Oryzias latipes: one gene and its partner. The protein of the gene in region 2 purifies or fractionates together with the protein of the main gene of each other region. This does not show direct contact. Links are inferred from orthologs where the notes say so. Each region holds a gene or a part of one and is shown on either strand. Other genes may lie near its edges.

Evidence for each region. Proteins that work in one complex are often made in the same cells at the same time.
Region 1: the proteins of cul1 (region 2) and ccnd1 purify together in Homo sapiens (affinity purification with western blotting; 4 studies listed by BioGRID). This does not show direct contact. The link is inferred for Oryzias latipes from reciprocal best matches to the Homo sapiens genes CUL1 and CCND1.

What each region holds. Positions count from the first base shown.
Region 1 is NC_019861.2:4,930,443-4,934,194, forward strand, and holds the start of ccnd1 (G1/S-specific cyclin-D1), read right to left. Parts: upstream 2,329-3,752; 5' UTR 2,016-2,328; coding exon 1,818-2,015; intron 666-1,817; coding exon 450-665; intron 1-449. UniProt on the Homo sapiens protein: Regulatory component of the cyclin D1-CDK4 (DC) complex that phosphorylates and inhibits members of the retinoblastoma (RB) protein family including RB1 and regulates the cell-cycle during G(1)/S transition.
Region 2 is NC_019878.2:3,220,934-3,224,659, reverse strand, and holds the start of cul1 (cullin-1), read right to left. Parts: upstream 2,904-3,726; 5' UTR 2,747-2,903; intron 1-2,746. UniProt on the Homo sapiens protein: Core component of multiple cullin-RING-based SCF (SKP1-CUL1-F-box protein) E3 ubiquitin-protein ligase complexes, which mediate the ubiquitination of proteins involved in cell cycle progression, signal transduction and transcription.

The sequences.
Region 1 (3,752 bases), on a different chromosome or scaffold from region 2:
AGTTTCTAAATTGACAGGGCTGACCCAGCAGTCAATATTGAATCCTTCTTATGCATAAATAGGCTGTAATGTTCTACCTAAACAAAGTGAATGACAGAACAAGACATTTTCTTTTTTTCTAGCATACATCTTTCTACTGTCTGCACATCTGTCTGACGGCCACTAGGTGTCACTGCAAATTAGCAGACGCCACCAAAGACCATTGATGAAATCAGAGGCCTTCCAGTCTCCATGGGAAAGTGCAGGCAGTCATTCAAACGCTGCAGCAGACTTCCATGCACATTTCAACCACAACGTACATCAGTAGCATGACTGCATGCTTGACATGTTGCAGCCTCGGCGCACCAGCAACCCAGACCGAGCCCTGCCTCCAGCCAACGCGGCCTTCAGGCATTCTGGTCATGTTCTCCCATTGTTACGCAACATCATGTCTGCAAGAACTTAATTACCAGCAGTTCTCCAGGTTGGACCGAGTTGTCTGTGTAGATACAGAGTTTCTCTGCAGTCAATGGTACCGTCTCCTTCATCTTAGATGCCAGAAACATGCATGTAGCTCCAAGCAGCTGGAGTCTGCTTTTCCTGGTGGGCTCCACTGATAAAAATCTGTCCAAATAGTTCATTGCCAACGGAAAAACCTCCTCCTCGCATTTCTGTTCCTCACAGACCTAAAAGAAAAAGAAAATAAAGTGTTTTAGAGGCCGACACTGGCATGGAGACATTTCTTTCTGTTCAAATGGAACAATGATTTCACTTTCTGTAAGCAGTCTGTCTTCCATCCTGCACACTATGATCCTCTCCAACTAATTTAGAAAAACTAAAGCATCTTTCATTTTTCGGCTTTTAAAATACGTGGAAAAAAATTGTTAAAACCTACAGACCAACTCTCAAGAAAAGGCTGGAAAAGCAGGTGAAAGCTGCAGCGGGAATGAGTTTACAGTCAGTTCTGACGGAGACACAAAGGTGGCGTCGACGCAACTTTCACTCCAATTTCAACTTCGTCATCTTTTCAAAAAACACTTTAAAATATTAACAAAAATCGCAGGCTGCTTATTTTAGCAGATACATGAAGCTGAAGGCGCGCCTGATCGGATGATAATGTCATTTGTCTTGTTTGGAGAACAAATTGGTTTTTATTTTTATTTTTTAGGCGAAGATTCTTCACGTGCTGCAGCCGCTGCTCGCACAGCCCGATGCCACATTTCAAAAATTAATTAAAAATATTTAACCTAAAGACTTTTGAACTGAAAGTTGATGTAAATGTTTGAAATGCTTCTGAGTATCAGATCCGACGGATCCGGTCCGTCTGCGCTTTGGATTTTCGAAGGAATCTGCGTTTTTTGGCGTGAAGTTCGTGGCCGTGGCTGCGCCTCCGGAGGCCGAACAAACTCCAGCTTTCGATCCCGCTTCAAACTTTATTCTCTTCTCGTGTCAAAGTCCGCGCTTTACCGGCCCGTTCCCCGTTATTTCTGTTAAAATGACATCATTCAAATCAGATCCCGAAGCTCCGCAAACACCGCAACAAAGATGGCGCGTAATCAGAAACTGGCACGCACCGGGCTGCATACGTGTACACCGGGAACGTTTCGCTGAAAACGTCCCGTTGGACCGAAACATCAGCTGAAATGGAAAAGAGCTGACGGGGAATGAAGTCGGCGGATGATCAGAGGCGCGCGGCCGAAGCCGAAGGGAGGCCAACCCTCACGCGAGCAGCAAGCCGCGTGAAGAAACTAAGCGGCGTGAGCGAGGCGCTCCAAACTTTGGCGTGACCTGCGGTTCCGGTCAGAACAGCTGGCAGCTTAGACGCACAGAGCTGATACCTCTAACATCCAGGTGGCCAGAATCTTCCTCATGTTGGGAGCGATGTCCTTCTGAACACACTTGAAGTAGTTGGGCGCCGGCAGGTAGTTTTCCTCCGCCTTCAGCATGGTCCGCAGGACGCGCTCGTTCAGCAGGTTGACGTCCTGGTGGGCTCTCCGGATGGAGTCCACCTCGCAGCACAGCAGCTGCTCCTCCATGGTAGCAGGACGAGAGCGGAGTCCGCCGGCGGTCCGGGCCGTGTTCCCGCGGGCAGGAGGCTGCACACACCAACTTTCAGCGCCCTTTCTTCTCGCGTGGCTTCTGCTGCCGCGTGCTGCTGCCCCTTCGGTCGCGCGAGCCCTCTGAGGGCCAGACCTCTCTGCTCTCGAAGACAAAACCCCCGATCCGTGCGCGCGTTGCGTGCGCGACCACGAACACGCGCGCACACAAAGTTGATCTGCAGAGCGCACAGTGGAGAGGTGGTGAGAAACGGTGGATGCGCGCGGTGACGTCAGCGGTTGTTAGGGCGGGGGGTATCAAAGACACATGCAGTCTGCTGGGGAGCGCGCGGAAGGGATTGTTTTATGTCCATATGTATGTGCGGGGGGAGGGCTCTGGTGGAGAGGTGGGAGGTCCGGCCCACCGGCGAACGCTTCCATCCTTTGGTCGGTAGGGGGCGGTGGCGATCCTACACCCCCCCGAACCCCCACCCCACCATATGTCTTCCTGGGATTGAATGAAACCGACAACATGAGGTTTCCACGAAAGGACAGGGACACGCCGTTTGCTCCATTCAGGAGATCCCACCAACCGTTGTGGCTGAAAGCAAACAGGGTTGGAATCCAAGCAGTCAGAGAGGAACCAGGTTCAGGGCGCGTGCACACTGCATCCCCACTTCAGACACATGAAACAGATTCAGGTCATTTCAACCAGATCAGCATCTTCTTTTAACTTCTGGAAGTTGCGAATCTCAGCTCGGTTGAAAACGTGACAGGAGCTGACTTTACCTCAAAAGATTCCTGTGAGACGTTCAGACAGACAGGAGGAGACTAGAGTCGCACCAATGGGAGGAATTGCTGTTACTAGGCAGATGTTGGTGTAACTTTCATGTAGGGAAAAGTTCATTGCTCTGAAAAAGTTGACCCTGATAACCCTCACAAAGTCCTTTCACACAAACTTCCAAGTCAACATTGCAGTTTTGTGTTTGTGGACAACTTCCTGATGCTGAGTTCACTATGGTAAAAAAAAAAAGAAGCTCTTTTTTCTCTTCAGTCTTATAAGTTGTAAATCAGGTAGAACAAGCCTCTTTCTGTCCTTTATTATACATTTAGGCACTTTAACGAAAATGTAAAAAGTACAAACAGAGCACTTTTTAATCCAGTTTCAATATGAATCAGAGCTTTTTGCATTCCTGAAATTCCACTTTGGGCCGTTTGGTTGACTACCGTAAAGCCTGAAGAGGGGGTCCATGTGCTGGAAGAGCTTAAAGTCACATCAACACATTCCCAGTCTCCTGCTTTTTAAGGACTAAACATCTGAAGTGAAAGTTGCTGTGTGACAAAAAACAATCCTCATTTACCTGTGCAGGAATAAAGAGCAGATCCCAGGATATACTGAGAAATCCTCTCAACGTTTATGTCTGTTCCTTTATTTTTAAATATTCTAAACGTTGTCTACTTTTTGAGTGTCCGGCTTTTGATGTTGTAGTTCATGCATTGTTGGTCTGAAACCGGAATCTTACCTCTGCAAAAGTTCTGATGGAATAAGGTGATGAACGTGAGCAACAGAATTTTCTGATTCAAAACATTTATTTTTAATAATTTAATGGAAAGGCTTTTTTGTGTGACCCCATTTCACAAACAAAATCCCCTTAATATCCAATTCTAATACAACTTTATATCTTTTAAATGTGCCCTCTGTTGTTACTTTTAAGACATTTTCTAAACTTTATCTGT
Region 2 (3,726 bases):
AGATACGTTTATTGACAGCATTAGAGTTTATTAGAAACACACCTGTGGATATGTATTAGGGCACATTTAAAAACACTCTTGCTTGTTTGTAAAACATCATGGGACAGTTAAAAGCAATCAGTTGAGATATTAGGAAGACAATTGGGGATTTGCACAAGTCTGGTTCTTTCCTGGATGTATTTCCAGATGCCTGGAGGCGCCACGTTCATCTGTTCAGACAACGGTACGCAAGTATAGAATCATGGGAACGTCCAGCCATCATATCACTCAGGAAGGAGACGGGTTCCTTGTCCCAGAGATGAACGTACTTTGGTCCAATATGTCCAGAACAACCCAAGGACGAAGGCAAAAGATGTTGTAAAGACGCTGGCTGAAGATGGTAAGAATGTGACATTATCAACAGTGAAACGAGTGCTGTACAGACATGGGCTGAAAGGCTACTCTGCCAGGAAGAAGCCATTACTCCAAAAGAAACGTAGAAAAGCCAGATTCAAGTTTGCTAAAGCACACAAGGGTAAAAACTTTAATTTTTGGAGACCAAAATAGAACGGTTTGGCCACAATGACCATCGTTATGTTTGGAGGAAACATAAGCCTGGGAACACCACCCCAACTGTAAAACATGGGGGTGGTAGCATCATCTTGTGGGTTTGTTTTGCTGCTGGAGGGACTGGTGCACTTCACAAAATAGATGGCATCATGAGGGAAAGAACAGTAAGTGGAAATATTGAAGCAACATCTGAAGACGTCAGCCAGAAAGTTTGGGCACAAATGGATCTCCCAAAAGGACAATGACCTGAAGCATACTGCCAAACTGGTTACAAAGTGGCTTAGGGACAATAAAGTTTTGGAGCCTGGACCTAAATCCTATTGAAAATGTATGGTCAAAGCTGTAAAGGCGTGTACACACAAGGCCACCTACAAACTTGGCTCATTCACACCAGTCCTGTCAGGAGGAACGGGACAAAATTCCTACCAAAGCTTGTGAAAGGATATCCAAGAGGTTTGACCCAAGTACTGCAGTTTAATGGCAATAGTACCAAACACTAAGGAAATGTATGTTACCTTTTGACCTTGATAAAAGTAATAAAAACTTGTCTAAAAAAACAAAACCTAGTCTCATTATTCTGACATTTAGCAAATTGAAATAATTTTGTTAATTATAATTTACCTAAAACAGGAAAAGTGTACTTTAATGTCATGTCTGATGGTGAGAAAAAAAGCATGTGTTTTATTGTGGTGTATATACATTTTTGGTTTCAACTGTAAATTAATCCACGCATTACATACGATTCACTAAAAGTAAATAATCAAAACTCCACCTCCTTGAAATACAGAAAATTTATGCCAACCTGATCAAGCTTGGAAAAGCAATTTCAGAATACAATATCATACATACCATGATCTTTTTTGTTTATCGTTGAATAAGTAATCTATTGTCACTGGAAGTTCAAGCTATCAAATGTAAATGGGGAACACAACATCCCTAAATATACTTTTCCATATGACCAGTCAGAAAAAGTTTGAAACCTTAAAAAAAGAAAAAAATCTAGTTTGTTTTTGCAAAACAGCACCAAGTCTTTTCCATACAAAAGAACAATAACATCAAGGAAATATAAGCCAGTCTCTAGAAAAAGGCCTACATTTAAGTAAAAACGTTTGGTATTTGTTTTAATAATGCTTAATCAAATAATCCAGGGCAAGGAAGAGTGTGAAAGCCTTTCAAATTAAGATGTTTACAGTTCTTTCATGTGAATTTAAACTATTATTTCGGTCTCTAGTTATAACAATCCCATTTTTTAATTTAACAAAGTATCTGAAAAGAGCAAATATTTATTCATAAGCAAGAACATATGAAACAGATGTGGCTTCAGCTCAACTACAAGAGCAAAAACCACTTCTAACTTTGTCTTAATAAGAAACAATATTTTAAACAAAGTATTTAAAAGAAAAATTGCATTTACATGAAGAGGTGGACTTCTACACCCCATCATATGGAAGACTACCAACGAGTTTTCTCACCTGTCATAAAAACCTGTCAGGAAGTGATGAAGCGTTCATTCATTAGGGGGTGACAAGCCAGTGGTGTTTTAAACGGAAAACACCTAACAATGATCGTAATACTGACGTGGCTGGACACAAAGGCTGGGCTGTAAATTCAGTCTGGCATTCAACCCACACCTCGTCATCCTGGGCAGAGAAATAATGCTCAACGGCGCTGGAGTGTTTCAGGTTGGAGTCCGAACACGACACGGGAGGCGGACAGCGAGCGAAAACAATCCAACTAAATACGCTGATATCTAACAATTTACACTAAAGTTGACAACCACTGTTGTGATTATAGTTCAGTGTGCTACGACCGGAGTCTGACACTGCTACGCAACACCGCTAAGACTCATTAGCCGTCTCGGATTAGCTTGTTAGCCCGACTCACTGTTTGGCCCCTGTGTGAACAACTAGCCTTAGATTTACGTACGATACTTGATTTATACCGCCATTCCTTTAAATATATATGCTCCTTTTATTATATTTAATAAGAATCGTCTCTGTCGTGCCAGAAGGCATCAATCGAGTCCTAAGTGCCTTGTGTAAAATGGCAGCCTAGCTTCTTGGGCTCTTCAATAATGAGTCAGGAAAACACTTCGCTAACCGCTTAGCTTTAGCAGCTAGCGCAAAGCTAAGCTGGTTGTCGTTAGGAAAAAAAAACCACTAACAGTGAAAACTCAAAAACTAAAACGTCCTCTTACCATTTTTAGACTGTCGCTGTGGCTGTATAATCGCAGAAAGCGGTAATGTTCGGCCACGGAACGCGTCTGGCCCGGCGTCTTTCTGGTCAGTGGGTCTGCCTGGAGCGGGCTGCTAGCTGCGCTCGTTGTGCTGCTTCGTTCACACAAAGATCATCTCAACAGCCACCAGATCACGCCGCCTTCAGGTGCGCTCCGAAAGAAGGACGATCTGATGAAAAGGTCTCTCAAACTCGAAGATAGACGGCTCTTGTGAAAAACATCATAAAAATATGCATGTTAATTTGAAAAATAGTTGCCCATTAAAAAAAGTCAAATTTAACGTTTTTACGTTTCATATAATATAATTTGGACTAAACTAAATTAGCAGAGTACATCAATAATAATACTGTTATACTTGATCAAAAGTAGTTGATATGATTGTTAAAGACAGCTTTTACACTGTTGTTTAATCACAACACATTTCTTTACCACTTTAACAGCTTTGTAATATTTAATACTAGAAAACTTTATTGACCAAAGGGATATGAACGTGAACAGTATACTTGAAAATCCACCAAATCTGACAGTATTTAACCAAAATAAAGACTCTTATGTGCAGTTGTTTTTATTGTTTTTATTTATTATGCGAAACAAAAACGCTATAATTTACAGGGATTCAGTGAACGCAGCATTTGTGACGTATAAAACTACAAATATGGCGAATCATATGTTCTGGACATTTGGCGCATGCGTAGTTTGTTGTTTTAGTACCATAACGTACTTTTCAAATGTACTTCGATGGCAAAGTGGCACCTGTGACATTTAGTTTTATTTGCGTTCGATCTGTTTCTTAAACGCATTAACACAGATGTGACGCACTGAAACCAACCGTTTCCGGTTGATATACGTGCTGTTGGTTCATTAGGGTGTCACCATATTGACTGTATCTGTATCCTTCAATGATTTTGACACGATTGCTGTCAACTTCCTGTTAAATATTC